2 linked regions of the Oryzias latipes genome follow. Each later gene encodes a partner of the first gene's protein in a complex. Links are inferred from orthologs where the notes say so. Each region holds a gene or a part of one and is shown in the gene's direction. Other genes may lie near its edges.

Evidence for each region. The genes of interacting proteins can lie anywhere in the genome.
Region 2: rbm15b (region 1) and mettl3 share a complex: the UniProt entries of both Homo sapiens proteins name them as parts of the WMM complex. The link is inferred for Oryzias latipes from reciprocal best matches to the Homo sapiens genes RBM15B and METTL3.

What each region holds. Positions count from the first base shown.
Region 1 is NC_019863.2:6,225,661-6,233,801, forward strand, and holds rbm15b (putative RNA-binding protein 15B), read left to right. Parts: upstream 1-3,045; 5' UTR 3,046-3,604; coding exon 3,605-6,097; 3' UTR 6,098-6,866; downstream 6,867-8,141. UniProt on the Homo sapiens protein: RNA-binding protein that acts as a key regulator of N6-methyladenosine (m6A) methylation of RNAs, thereby regulating different processes, such as alternative splicing of mRNAs and X chromosome inactivation mediated by Xist RNA.
Region 2 is NC_019876.2:17,632,535-17,639,728, reverse strand, and holds part of mettl3 (N6-adenosine-methyltransferase catalytic subunit), read left to right. Parts: intron 1-616; coding exon of another isoform or gene 617-673; exon of another isoform or gene 674-879; intron 880-1,010; exon of another isoform or gene 1,011-1,142; intron 1,143-1,220; 5' UTR 1,221-1,226; coding exon 1,227-1,329; intron 1,330-2,974; coding exon 2,975-3,165; intron 3,166-3,247; coding exon 3,248-3,703; intron 3,704-5,540; coding exon 5,541-5,716; intron 5,717-6,131; coding exon 6,132-6,342; intron 6,343-6,421; coding exon 6,422-6,609; intron 6,610-7,194. Other genes in the region: ttc5 (tetratricopeptide repeat protein 5), read right to left, coding at 617-673. UniProt on the Homo sapiens protein: The METTL3-METTL14 heterodimer forms a N6-methyltransferase complex that methylates adenosine residues at the N(6) position of some RNAs and regulates various processes such as the circadian clock, differentiation of embryonic and hematopoietic stem cells, cortical neurogenesis, response to DNA damage, differentiation of T-cells and primary miRNA processing.

The sequences.
Region 1 (8,141 bases):
TGTGTTTGCTCCTCACCTGTACCTTTGAAGCCAACTCAGTCTCTAACGCATAGGTAAAATATTCATGAAGCTTTAAGAGTTTCTGTTCAGTCCAGAGAGCAACTCTCTCCACTACATGAACCCAACCAGTCAGTCTTCAGGGGCCAATGATTCCTGAGGAGCAGGAGAACACGTCTGTATCGATCGCACAGCCTTGTGGGAATGGGAACGAGCAGCTGCCACCGCTCTGTTCACCTGACCTGAACTCCGTCAAATGAATAACTTGGGTTTGGAAACTGAAGTGTAAAACGACACAACAAATGGTCGCTGAACATGCATTCAAGTCATTTGTACAGCTGTTCTACTTTTTCATTAAAATATGAAAAACTGGACTATAATGATACCAGTCAAAATGATCAACCTACTACTCTGAAAGGAGATTACTGGTCTAGCACTAAATGCACAAACTAGAAGATCCACATGACCTCCCAGCAACAAGTGTACCTGAAGGACCACATGGTGTTCACCTGGGATTAAGGGACATTCTCTGTCAAATACTAAGAGAAAAGGTGTAAATCAACAATTCCGATGATCAGAGGGAAAGTGGTTTGTCAGAAAACTATTAATTGTCCTTTGAAAATGAATAAAAAGAATTCCTCCCTTAGACTACGGTCCCAAAAGTTTTCCTGGTGAGGGTTTGGTCTAGGTACATAGGTTTTTATTTGCCATCGTTGGTAAAACCCAACTTAAACAGTACTCTGGTCAGTGAAACTTTCAAACATTTAATAATTTGCTGTCATTGTCATTGAAAACAAGAAATCATAACCAATTAAATGGGAGCTAATTAAAAGTACATCTAATATAAAAACAACAATGACAAGAGTGTTAAAATAGTCGAAAACCAGAATTAAACGTCATATGACCACAGTACATGAAAAACATCCACTATTGGACAGTTTCAGCAGGCGCAGATTGTCCTTTTAATTCCTCCTTAACTATTCTAGGCACTATTTATCCTAGCCTTGTGCTATCCTAGGCACTTTAACATTGGGAGTTGGGTCATGTAGACCCACTAGACAGTGCGCTGAACCTTTTTTCTTCAATGATTTGTGATCTTCACTGGTGTCCATGGATTACATGAAATCTTTCCACCTTTGTCATGGTAGGGAGAACACGTCAATGTAAGGGTGGGGTCATCTGGACCCCATAAGATGCAGTGTCCTCTATTGATCTGTTTTCCCTCTTTGCCAACAAAAAAAAAGGCAGCTTTTGTTTTGTTTTTTCAATGCTCCCCACATGTAGACTACTCTTTTTTTATGTACGTATTTTTTTTACTGTATTAAAGTACACATCATCACATCACCAAGCAGACCATCAGATAGCAATAACCAATATTATCTTTCAAAAAAAGAAATACAGAATATAAAAGATTAATGAGGAAATAGTTAACAAAAAGGAAAATTTGCAAGTACGAAATTAAAACATTAAATATATATGTATAGGTAAAAAAATTATGTTTACAAAAAATTGCCTTGGATGTATTAATATTTTTAAGAAATTTGACAAATCTCTTATCCTAAATCCAGTAAATTTGGGAGTTTTTTTTCTCTTACTTTGCCCTTTTGTATGAAAAATTTAGGTAGGAGAAGCAACAAATTAATAACGTTTTCTACCATTTTATCACCAAAGTTAAAATGTGTAGAATTTGTTTGAAATGTATTAGTTTACTTTGTTTCTTTAAATTGTTCTAAACGGATCCAGAAGTGAAAGGATGTACAACAGTAGAAAAGGTGATGAACTGATTTAAGTAAAACTACAGTTATTTTCTATCTATCTTTAGAATTTAGAAATGAACATATTTGTGGGGTAAATGTTATTTGAAATTCTTTTATGTATTTCTTTAACTTTATTGTTTATTCAAAATGTATCTGGCAGTAACCATGCTTTTTTTCCAATTGATATAATTTAAAATATGGTTCCAATAAATTTCTCCTTTAGGTGTTATGCTTCTTTTTTCGCTAAAAGTATTATGTGTTTGTTGTTGCAATTTTTTGATTGAAAATATCAATACCATTAAGTGTTAAAGGAGGGTGTATTTCAGATTCCTCGTGATATTTAAGGTTAGAAGTCAGTAGTTGAATTACTCCTGAGACAAGAGCTTTCATTACACTCTTGAATTCTTTGCTTGTTACTGGAAAACACATTTTATTGAAGAACCTGTCATAATCGATGGCTGCCATTCTCATCAAAAAGATCAAATTTTTGATGGTTATATCATCATTGTTCCAAGTTATACTTTTGTTTGGTGAGAAATAATGTGCATAGCATAACGTCCAGGCACGACAAAACTTGCAGATACAAATTTTAAAGATTGACAGGAGTCTTTCTGATATTTACATTTAAAAAGAAATTGAAGACCCCCGATTTTATTATAAAATATTAAATGGGATAAAGTACCAAATTGATTTTGAGTCTTAAAGGCCTTTTTGAATCCAGTAACCATTAAATGTATAATTCAAATCTGAGAAATGTAGGAGTTCATAACCTCCTTTGCATGAGGGGGCATAAAATAGTTCTTTCTGAAGATAGTGACGTCTATTTTTCCATACAAAGTTAACTAAGAGGTTGTTTATTTCTTTGGAAGTTGAACAGAAGTAAAGATAAGGATAGATTAGGAGAAATTTCTCTTGAGATACCTTTCGCTTTAGCCAAGAGGATCCCGCCAAAAATAGATAGATCTATTTGAAGCCACATATTCATGACATCTTGCATTTTTTCTAATTCTCAAGGAGAAGTTTTGTGTTTGTCTAGATTTTCTGTCCATTGTTATACTGGTGCCTAAATATGTAACTACATTTTTAACAGGGATACCATGTTTTTCTTTAACCATTTTAACCTTTGTGCTATCCTAGGCACTTTAACATTGGGAGTTGGGTCATCTAGACCCACTAGACAGTGCTCTGAACCTTTTTTCTTCAATGATTTGTGATCTTCACTGGTGTCCATGGATTACATGAAATCTTTCCACCTTTATCCACCTTTGTCATGGTAGGAAGAACACGTCAATGCAAGGGTGGGGTCATAGGTTAGCACGAGGGTTAACTTTTTAATAATATTTGACATTTAACTAAACTAAGACGTAATCTCTATTGACGTAATCCAGAAGCGTTTGAAAAATAATTAATTATACTTGTATCAAGGTCAATGTGGTTTCTGTCTATTAAGAATAATGCAGTATCATCTGCTTGCTGTGTTATTTTGATTTCCTTTGAAAAATGGATAAACCTAATAAACAAGGACAATTTGGTATGCAGGAGTTTTCAAATCAAAACGTGCAACGTGCTTGCGTCACTACAGGCTCCGCCCTCCTTTGGGAACGCGCACATTCCTATTGTCCAAGATGGCGGCGCTGGTGCAGCTCTTGTGATGCTGACATGTTTTTAAAGGCTTCTCCTCTTTTCCCCGTAAATGTGTGACCACTCGGAGCCCGCTCTGGAAGCGCCCCCTAACCGAAGCAGCCTGCGCCGCCGCCGTCTCCGAGCTAACGCTCCCGGAATCCGCAGCAGCGCCGGATCTCCGCTGCAGGCTCGGAAAAAAAGTTGAAACTCTCCATCATTATTGGAAAATGAAGCGGCAGGCCGTGAGAGACGGCAGCCCATCCAGGGCCCTAGCCAAGCGGATTCGAGAGAGAGAACGGGAGAGCGCCCGCAGAGAGGAGCTGCCGCCGCCGCCGCCGCTGGCTCTGCTGCTGGCGGAGAGCCGGAGCTACCACCGGCGGAGCCGCAGCAGGGAGCGGGAGAAGCCGCGCCTTCGGGAGGAGCGCGCGGCCGCGCTGGAGCTCCACCACCGACACGAGCTCAGCCTCCTGGGCCGGCCGCCGCTGCGGGCCGCGGAGCTCCCCGCCGCGAGACCCGGCACGCTGGAGTACAAAACGCTGCTCATCAGCAACCTGGGCTCGCAGGTGTCGGACGAGGACGTCGAGGACGCGCTGTTCCACGAATTCAAAAAGTTCGGGGACGTGAGCGTGAAGCTGTCGCACACGCCGGAGCTCGGCCGCATCGCCTACGTCAATTTCAGACAGCCGGAGGACGCCAAGGAGGCCCGGCACGCCAAGTCCTCCCGGCTGGCTCTGGGTGATAGACAGCTCAAAATAGAGCCCATGTACGTTAGGAGGCGGAGCGTCACCCCCCCGGACGTCAGCTATCTACCTTTACACGCCCCCTATCCGTACAGACAGCGCTCCTTGTCCCCACCCGGGACCGGCGTGAGCAGCATGCGGGACCTCCGGGCCAGACACTTTGCGCTGGAGAGCCTGGGTCTGAGCAGAGACCGGGAAAGGCTGCTGGACTATTATGGTATGCTGGATGAGAGGGGGCGGCCCTACGCGTTCCCCCCCATGCCTGTAGTGGAGGACCTGAAGCCCGAGGATGACCAGAGGGCCACCAGCAACCTGTTCATCGGAAACCTGGACGGGAATGTGACGGAGGCTGAACTCAGGAGAGGGTTTGATAAATACGGCATCATTGAGGACGTGGTCATCAAACGGCCAGCACGCGGCCAGGGCGGGGCTTATGCCTTTGTAAAGTTTCAGAACCTTGACATGGCCCACAGGGCCAAAGTGGCCATGCAGGGCCGTCTTATTGGTGGAAACCCAATTAAAATCGGATACGGCAAAGCCAACCCCACCACCCGACTGTGGGTGGGCGGTCTGGGACCAGGAAACTCGCTGACCGCTCTGGCGCGGGAATTTGACCGCTTTGGAAGCATTAGGAACATTGACTATGTGAAGGGCGACAGCTTTGCTTACATCCAGTATGAAAGTTTGGATGCAGCCCAGGCCGCCTGTACCCAGATGAGGGGCTTTCCTCTGGGCGGGCCAGAGCGCCGCCTCAGGGTGGACTTTGCTAAAGTGGAGGAGAGCCCCTCCCGCCCATTTCCCCCTGGTTACCAGCTTCCTGTGCCTCCCCCCACGCATTATGACCTCCTTGGAGAGGCCTACAGTCGCCATCGCAGCCTGGAGCGCGAGCTGAGAGGAACCAGGGAGCGCTCCTCACCGCCCTCCCACAGCCTCCTCTCTTTGAGAGAGAGGGTCCTGCTGGAGAGAGAGTTTCCCAGCAGCCCCACCCGAAGCCTGGACAGGAGGGTGGGAGGAGTGGAGGCGTTTGGAAGAGCTGGCCGAGGGGCGAGGAGCCGCAGCAGGAGCAGGGAACGCTGGCTGAAGGAGAGGGAGGAGAGGAGGAGCCGCAGGAGAAGCAGAAGTCTGTCTGTCGACAAGCAGTCGGAGGAAAAGGAGAAAGAAAAGGGAAGGTCGAGGGTTCGAGTTCCGGGAGGCACCGCCTCCCCTGATGCAAGCCCAGACCGAGCACGGGTTCGAGCCCCGGACTCCACCACTGAGCCAAGAGACCACTCCCCTGACAGTGGTGGAGGGGGGCGACACGCAAATGCCACAGAGGAAGAGCCCCCATCCAGCCGTCACCACAGCAAGAGGTCCGCGAGCGTCAACAACCACCATCGAAACAGCGACGTGGCCGCCGCCAGCCCCCCCGCTGCCCACACGGACACCTCGTCCACCCTGAGCTCGCTGTCGGAGTACGCCCAGGGCTCCCTCACCAAGGTGTGGCAGGGCTTCTTTGCCTTGAAGAACAGCAGCTTCCCCACGGAGCTGTACATGCTGGAGGGAGGGGCCTCCTTCCTGAGCGGCGTTTTGAAGGACAGCCTGAATCTGCAGAACCGGAACCAGCCAAGCCAGTTGAAAATTGCCCAGCGCCTGCGCATGGACCAGACCCGGCTGGACGAGGTGTCGCGCCGCATCAAGCTCGGCCGCCCTGACGGCTTTGCCATCCTGCTGGCTCTGCAGGGCGCCATCGACCGCCAGGCCCCCGCCCCTGAGCCGGGACTGCAGATACGTCTGCTCCGGCACCTGGTGACATACCTGCGCAACAAAGAGGCGGCGGGGGTGGTTGGTCTGCCTGCCACCAAAGAGGGGGGCACGGGTGGGATGCTGTACGCCTTCCCCCCCGGTGAGTTCTCACAGCAGTTCCTGCAGGCTGCCCGGAGGACTGTGGGTAATCTGGACGAGGAGCACATGGTCATTGTGATCGTCAGCGACACTAATTGAGTCTGGTGCCGGCTCAGTCCCACACTACAAGTCCTTCCATGGTTTGCTGGGGGGCGTGTTTTGACTCCTCTGTCGAGGTTCCCCTCCGACAGTCACGCCGGGACGCATTCAATTAAAAAAAGCAGAAAGGTCGTCGCCCCGACAGGCAGCACGCCGCCCTTTCTGCTTCAGGTGGAACTGAGAACACTAATGCCTAGCCTGATGGTTTCTATGCTTCATACTTTATGTGTTTGTATCCTGGTGTCACCTGACCTGTGCCGACACCTCCAGTGACATGGAGACTTTCTGCAGAGCAGCTGGACTGTAAGCTGATGCCGGCTGATCGAGTCTCTCCTCTCTGGACTCTACCAACTTTTTATTTATAGTTCAAAGGCTCCTGGGCCAGTAGACAGAGTCCCGGCCGTCCTAACCACTCCGCCGGTGTTTTTATCAGATCGCTCATTCCACACTTCACTTTGCTTTTTATGGTGCCAGAGTGTTTTCTCTGTTGTTGCATGGACTAGAATGAATTTCTATGGATAAAGATGTAAACTACCTTGTGGAGACGTTTTAAAAAAATATTTTCGAGTCGTACTGTTTCAATTTTTCTTTTTTATTGTGGACATTTCAAACTTCAGTTTTTAATCTGTCAGTCCATCCACACTTGAACTACTCGTTTTAATTTCTGTCATCACATGTCAGCACTTTGATGGGATCAAACCATTTCAGATGTTTCACATCAAGATGAAAAAGACAGTAAAAGACGACGCAAATAAAAATAATTGGGAAAGAAAAATCTGTGTCCTATAAAAACAACTTAGCGGTAAATGGAGACAAAAGAAGTTGACTGCTCAGAACTTTGGTGTGTAAAGGGTTCCTCCTAATTTTTATTTAAAACCAGAACCTGCATCAAGACTGGAGATGAGCTGAAGCAGGGGTGGACAGGTGGTGTGTGATGGGTTTCAGGTGCAAAGCTAGTCTGAAAGGTTGTCTGTGCCGCTAATTAGTGAAGCGGAACAAGAGAAGATGAAACAAAGTTAGTGGCGTAATAAACCGGCGCTCAAAACATGTGAATGTCCCTGAAAACGTTTGCAAACACGTTAGCTTCAAGCTAAAATGGAAGACAGATTTTCTTCCTCTGCATTTTGTCTGAAAATATTTCACAAATTAGACTCAAATAAAAATAGTCTTTGAAAGAATCATTTAGATGTGGTGTAACTTCAAAGTTGACTATTTCTACTATATCTTCAGTCAAAAATACTGTTTATGTATTAATAGCTCAAAAATGACAGAGTACACAAATCTTTGTGAGGTTGTCACGAGTATTAATAGTATTTTTATAGTAATATAGAATTTAAACAGATCAGGCTTTTTATTATGAAAGCAGTGACAATTGTGTTTCATGCTCTACTGGGGAGCATAACACATCTAAAGGGCGTAACCTCTGCTGACCGAACAGCAGCCACCGCTCTGTGGACGGCGCTGGAGAAGCACGTGCCTCGCTCTGGACGACGCTGCTTCCCACGTGGGCTCGGATCCGTCAGGCGGGAACCGCAAACCCGGCAGCAGGTGCCGCATCTGACCAAGGCCGCACGCGGGCCAGCTGGTGCCTCAATAAACGGCCCTGTGGGCCAGAGTGGTCGTCTGCCGAGAGAAAGAAGAAAGAAAGAAAAAAGTAGATAAGCACAGTGAGGTATGTCTCAGAGGATGTTCCTTTGATCGTTATGCATGTCAATCGAGTGACGTATTACATGGTGAGATTTAAAAATATATATATTTAGATAAATATATTTGTCTCTGATGGCCCGCGCTCTGCCGCCACATCGACATACTGAGCACCCCTGCCTCATTTCACCCGGGTGTGGAGGTAAAAGTGGCAGCACTAAGAAAGATTACTTTAAAACGAGTTATGACGAATAATCGACAAACCGATTTCTATTCTCATGATCCAACCTAATCAGTCAGTCAGGGGCAAGTTGTTGATGGACCTAGCTCAATAAAAATTTGTATAAAAATAAATAATCGATATTGGAAGATACCATTTGGATTGAGTCACAGTAAGTTA
Region 2 (7,194 bases), on another chromosome or scaffold:
CCAAGAGGGCCTTTAAGATAAATTACACAAAACTGTCAACAATAAAAACAGTTATTCGTGATTGTTTTCTGAAAGTAGGACTTTTGTTATTTTCATATTTGCCAAGTTATCTCCCATTTAATGAAATCCTACAAATTAAGAGCATAATATTTTGTGGATCTTTTAATCGTTTGTTGTTCCAACATTTCAGGTTAAGTTGTGTTGTTACTGAATACCACTACTCACCTAACACTTTCCTTTTTTTCTTTTTGGTTAAAGCTTTAATTTTTGTAACATTGATATGTGTTAGCTTAGTAGATGTGAACAATTGTAGCCAAACATCATCCATTCCGTATGGTTTGGTGCCTCAGTGATCCCTTTTCTATAGAAGATATATAAAACCTGGACTTCCAAATGTTTGGAACAAATGTGGAGCCACTTCTGTGGAAATACAGCAACATCAAGCACCGCATCTTTAGAAAAACAGCTGATTTCATCCACTGACTGAGACTGAGCTGCTGCTTAATCATGTGAGGCGCAGACGCGCAACACGGATAACGGCGAGATATAAATATCATAGTCTAAAAGAAACGACACGAGAGAAAAAACAAAGTCTCAAAAGACTGGAAAGACTTGCCTTCATCATTTGCTCCTCACTTTTGGGTTCATCCCTTTTCCCTTTCTCCTCCGCCATCTTTGACAAACTCACTGCGAACTGGGGGGGAACAAAGACTAACGGAGAGAAAAAAACACGGAGGCTAAAAACAATATGTTTAAACAAACGCACTATAACTGCAAGACTCAGACAAAAATAAAACTACGAGGAAAAAACAGTAACAAAAATAAACTGAAATCCTTGTTTTGTTTTTTGTTTTTTTGCATGACGGAAATGGATTTTCAGTGACGCGGGAAGTAGAAGCGGTCCTTCACAGAAAAGAGTCCGACAAAACAATTCATTTTTCATTTTAGGGGCAAAAATAACAAATTGTAAAAATATAAGTAACAAGTATACTAGTACAATATCGTGTTTTTTACATCTTGATAGTTGGTGTAATTATTAATACTATTGAGATAAAGCAGTAATTTTTCAGCGGAAACATTAACCGCAATCGAGTTACTTGCCCGAGACTTTTCTCTGGACCGGACATTCGGGGCTCCTTTAGGTGCCGAGGGTGATTTTGTTAGTTTGGAAGTTTCTTCATTTTTGGGACTTGCAACTGATTTCGTGTTGATTTCTCCAGCTCGTCATGTCGGATACATGGAGCAACATTCAGGCGCATAAGAAGCAGTTGGATTCGCTTCGGGAAAGGCTACAGCGGCGACGGAAAGACCCAACGCAGCTGTCCGCAGGTTAGGCTGGTCTCAGTCTCAGGGACACCATTCAATCACAACCTTTACTTTTTATCCTCTACGTTTTTGCTTGTTCATATAAATGATTTAAAATACATTTTATTGTTATAATTTCAAGTTAGTGAATTAACAAATAGATTCTCGCAGATAAAAAACTGATGTTTTTATTGATTATTTAGGTTATTATCTGAACTACAGCGACCAAACAACATAACGAAAGTAAAAACCTCTGTAAACAATTTATAGTATTAATTGTAAACACAAAAAAGCCAGTAAAGAAAATTTTTGTCTGTATATATACAATTTTATTGTGTTAATTTAAAATCTTTCTAATATAAAAATATTTGAAAAGCACATCTAAATGTTTTATTTCAAAACTTCCTCACAGTCTTTAGAAAGATATATATAGATTCTAAAAAATTATTTTAGGAGCAAAATCACAAATGTTGATTATTATAACAACTTTACAGTAAGTAGCTAGCAATTCGAGATTACTTTGTTTTCTTTTTGTTGTTGTGGTTTTTGTTTGTTTGTTTGCAAGTTGAACAATAGATTCCTTAAAATAAGTGGAAATAAAATTTAACAACTGAACAATCCTAAATGGAGCAGAGGAATCAAAAATTTTTTTTAAAGACCGACTCTGATGAAAATCATGTTATTGGGGGTTCTTCTCCTCATAGCGTTTTGCTCAGGATGTAGGGAAAAACAAGAAAACTGCTTTTTTGAGTATTTTTTATTTCCATGGTGATGGATCAGGAGGCTGCACGGTGGCGCAGTGGTTAGCACTCTTGCCTCACAGCAAGAAGGCCTCCGGTTCAAGTCCCAGCTGGGGGACATGAAAAACAACATCAACAGGGGGCTTTTCTGTGTGGAGTTTGCATGTTCTCCCCGTGTATGTGTGGGTTTTCTCCGGGGTCTCCGGCTTCTTCCCACCATCCAAAAACATGCTTCATAGGTTAATTGGTCACTCTAAATTGTCCCTATGTGTGAGAGTGTGTGGTGTGTTTGTGGACATTCTACCCTGCGACAGACCTCGCCCACAAGTGGCCGGGATAGGCTCCGGCAGCCCCGTGACCCCGAAAGGGAAAAACGGTTAAGAAGATGGATGGATGGATGGATCAGGAGCAGATAAAAACCCACTATTTGGAAAAGCTTTCAGTTGTGATGCAGCGTTTGAAATGGGCGGCAGAAAGTCTCCCAGCTCCGCTCCACTCTGATCCATCCACTGGCAAACAAGTAGATACAGTAACGTCTTCATTTTCCTCGTCTGAGCTGACATCCAGCTCAAAACTGTACGGCTGGATACCTCTGATATTGCTCGCTATTTTTGTTTCACCCCTAATACAAGCTGGGAGTGTTGAGGGGCTTTAAGCTAGCAGAAGAGCGTGTAAATAGAGGGTGATGGGATATCAGCAGAGGGTCACAATTCAGAGGCGAAGCCTGATGAACTCTTGCCGTTTTAAAGAAAAAATGTCTTTAGAAAAACAACACAGGCTTTTGGCCAAAACAGCATAATCATAATTAAAAGACGACTGGAAATGGTTTAACAATAGATATAAATATAGTCGGAGTCCGACTGTTAAATGTGTTTATGCGTTTTCTTTTCTTTTCTAATGCAATGTGTTGGTCCTTCTTGGTCTCTCAGACAGTGGGACCGTCCCAGATGGCTCTGCAGTCAGGAGTGACAGCCCGGCTCCACCAGCTCCATCCAGCTCTCAGGAGGAGACAGAAAAACCACCGGATCCTGAGCTGGAGAAAAGGCTGCTGGGATATCTGTCTGACCTGAGTCTTTCGTTGCCTATAGACTCCCTTGCCATCAGTAATGAACTCAACAATGTAAGGTGGTTTTCTGGGATCATTGAAGAACCTGTTGGATGCGGCGTTCTACACTATGATTTCTTTGTTTATCTGTCTGAAGCCTGAAGCTGCCGCCAGTCATGGATGCATCCAGAGCCTCCTGCTAAAGTTCTCAGCTCAGGAGCTCATTGAAGTCCGACAGCCCACGTCCGTCTCTGCCTCCTCCGCGGTTCCCTCCTCCACCGTCGTGGTGGCAGTGGATCACACCAAGCTGTGGGCCATGATTGGATCCGTGGCGGGATCCCAGAGGACGGCGGTCAAGAGGAAAGCAGAAGACGTGGCCTTCAGTAGCAGAGCCGGCAGCTTCTCGCCTTCCCTTCAGAGCTCTGCTTCTCCTCCACGCTCATCCATCTCCTCCCTGACGCCCGCCTCCTGCTCCCAGCTGACTGGCTCCTCTGCGTCGGGGGGCGGAGCCGAGAAGAAGGGCAGGAGCAACAAAAGCCAGTCTTCTCACGTGGACATGGAGATCGAGAGCCTGTTAAACCAGCAGTCCACCAAGGAGCAGCAAAGCAAGAAGGTGATCCAATGTTTTTCTCTGCCGGAAATGAATCCTCACTCCTGATGTTTTCACAGATAGAAAGACGGAGGAAAGCAAGTAATCAATGTTAAGAGTCTAAAGTGGGATTTCAATGTATTTTTACACATCAAGGGAACGTTCGTGTACAACACGGATAATCAAAACAGAGAAAATAAAACGGTGTCTGGTGTGTGTAAGATTAAAGTTAAACAGAAGAAAATATAAAATCCAAAAGTCAACGATTAATTTGCCAAGAGGAAATAAGTATCACCATTTTTAGCTTAGTAAACATTTCTTTTCTTCAAAATCTACACCCATAATTATGCATTGCTCAGTGATATTGACTGATACATTAGAAACGAATGTAAACCTCATACCTGGAGATCAACCAAGTCTTTTCTACTAAATGCTGTTGAGTTTGTCCAATTATCAAAACCATTAACAATGTTGAGCAGCAAAACCGTAAGGAAAATTGGACCTGTGTTTGGTAAATGTAAAGAAGATGAAATATTACAGGGGTCGGGAACCTATGGCTCGCGAGCCATATATGGCTCTTTTGATGGTCACATGTGGCTCGCAGACGAGAAAAATATTAGGTCTTTTCTGGCCAAAAAGTGGAAAAACGTTTGAAAACTGCGTGGACTCAAACCACGAGTATGTTTGATATTTAATAAAATAAACTTCACGTCCTAAAAGTTAAGAAAATTTTTAATTTATACTCTTGTAAAATATCCTTTTGAGACATTTTTGTGAATGAGATAATATTAGAAAATATTTATTTTATTTGTTATGATTGAAGCTTCCAGCTTTAAAGCTAAATGTTGCTTCATTATTTTTTACATTTTTGGGGTCTGTTTGGGGTCAAATCAGGGTCAGTTTAAAGGGAAGTGAAATTCCAAACTGGAAATTAGTAAAAAAAAAAAAAAAAAAAAGCAGTTTTAAACTCAAAATTACACATTCCTCTCCTTTCCTCTCTTTTCTTTTTCTACTGTTGGAAGAGGCTTGGTGTGAAATGTCAAAGCCGTGCAAATCAGTTGAATCTTTGGCAACTCTATTCTCATAGATGAAAAACTTGCTGTCATTGAATTCACAAACTACAATTCTTCATTTCTCCTCCATGATTCATGTTCAAATGGTTGCCACTTTTGTGAATTAAAAGGAACACCATCCATACGTCACTACTAAGTACGAGTCTCTGACTGAAGTTCAACCTGGTTTAACTTTCAACACGCATTCAAAATTTGTTTAGATCCGCTGGAAAGTGAGAGCTTTGAATGCAAAAGCCTCGTTTAAACAGAGCTTTCAATGAAAGTGCTCTTGTTGCCAGGGGCGATGTGAACAAAGCTCCACTCCCACATAAAAATGGTCTCAACACCAAGAAATGTTGAAAATACAAAACAGCAGCTGTGACAAAAAAACATAATTTTTCATTTGGTAACAGTTTTAGATTTGTTCTTTTTTAACCCCTCCAGACTCGAATTTATTTGCAACTGAAAAAAATAAATTCCACTTGAGTTTTTGCTTTCAAGTAGATGATAAATTCAGTTAATTTTGCAGCAGAAGTGGTTCGATGCACATTTACATCAATAGACATAAAGGGGGTTTTAACTTAAGTTTCAAACTTAATTGTTTTTCTGATTTTCAATATTTCTTTTACCGCAAGTTTGAATTATTTTTGTTTCAAATTTTCTTTTTCAAAGTTTGCTTTTTTTTATTTTCTTTTTAATGTAATTTACAATCTAGTGTTTTATTTACTTTCAGCTGATCGTCATTTGACCCCAGGTTGGAGGTCAATGCTCTTTCATCATCATCATCATGTTTCTGAACATGTGTGCAGGTGAGCAGAGAAATCCTTGAGCTGCTGAACGCCAGCACCGCCAAAGAGCAGTCCATCGTGGAGAAGTTCCGCTCGCGAGGACGCGCTCAGGTCCAAGAGTTCTGCAACCACGGGACCAAAGAGGAGTGCGTCCGCTCCGGGGACGCTCCTCAGCCGTGCACCAAGCTGCACTTCCGGTGAGATTTCTGCCTCAAAGCCCAACATTTGACCCCTCGACTTCTTAAAGCTCACTCTGGTTTGATGTTGCTGAATTAGAAGAAACCACTGTTTTATATTTATATTAGAAAAAAAAAACTACCTATTTCAACCTGAAGATGGCGCCATTTATCTAACAAAAAGCAGCTCATCTAACTATATAGCCATTGCTTTTTGACACACATCTCATTAAATTCTATGGATGAACTTTTTTTTTTTCTATTGCTTTTTTGTAATTTGCTTTAATTCTAGGATAAAATTCAGATTTTACATTTTTACTCTTCTCGCTCATCTTTTTATTCTTACATTTGTTCCGATCAGTTCAGGTTTTGTCCGTGAAGCGAAACGCTTTAAATTCATGAGCTTAAAGGTTTTTCTGCTGTTTCTGCTCCTCAGTCGCATCATCAACAAGCACACAGACGAGAGCCTGGGCGACTGCTCCTTCCTCAACACCTGCTTCCACATGGACACCTGCAAGTACGTCCACTACGAGATCGACAGCCCGCCGGAGGCCGAGAGCAGCCTGGGGCCGCAGACGGGGGGCGCGGAGGTCAGCCTCTGCGCGGGGGACGCCGACAGCAACGTGGGCACTCTCTTCCCATCGCAGGTGAGGAGGGGACATCAGGCGGAGAGCGCTTTTCTTAGCGGGAATTCTAGTCTCTCAGCAAAGCGTTTCCATTTCTCAGTGGATCTGCTGCGACATTCGTTACCTGGACGTGTCGATTCTGGGTAAGTTTGCTGTGGTGATGGCTGACCCCCCCTGGGACATCCACATGGAGCTGCCCTATGGGACTCTGACCGACGACGAAATGAGGAAACTCAACATCCCAGCCCTGCAGGACGACGGCTTCCTCTTCCTCTGGGTCACTGGCAGGTAACCAGAGCAGAGTTAGCATCTTTGATTCTTTTCTGCCTCATCCACCACCCTTTTATTCTTTGCAGCAGTGCTTAAAAACCCACTTTCATCATCTTGTGTTCCGGGGGCATTTTATGTATGATTTTGCCATTTTTAGCCAAAATCCAACAACCTGTGCAGTTTTCTTGAACATAATTTTTGCTGAGTTCATTAGAAACTCCCCTCAGAGTTATGGGCTGGACCGCTGGCGTGGAGCGTCCCCGCCTCCCTTCCCTTCGCCATTGCTAATAGCTCGGAGCAGGAAGGCTTGTGGCCCGTCCAGCAACGATTTAAATGAAGATTCAGAAATACAATTTTTGTCTTAATATTCTTCCTACATGTCCTCCATCATCAGAAAAACACCACAAGAACATGTTAAAAATTCCAAAAACACCACTTTGATCAGGGCGGGTGTTTAGAGGATTTCAAACATGAACCTTATTGCAGCAGAACCTGCTTCATTATCAGATGTAGATCCATCCGTTCCAAAGCGGATCTGCTTTCTGCTCAAACACCATGAGTCAGGAATACATGACATAGAAGCCATCATGACTAATGTGTAAC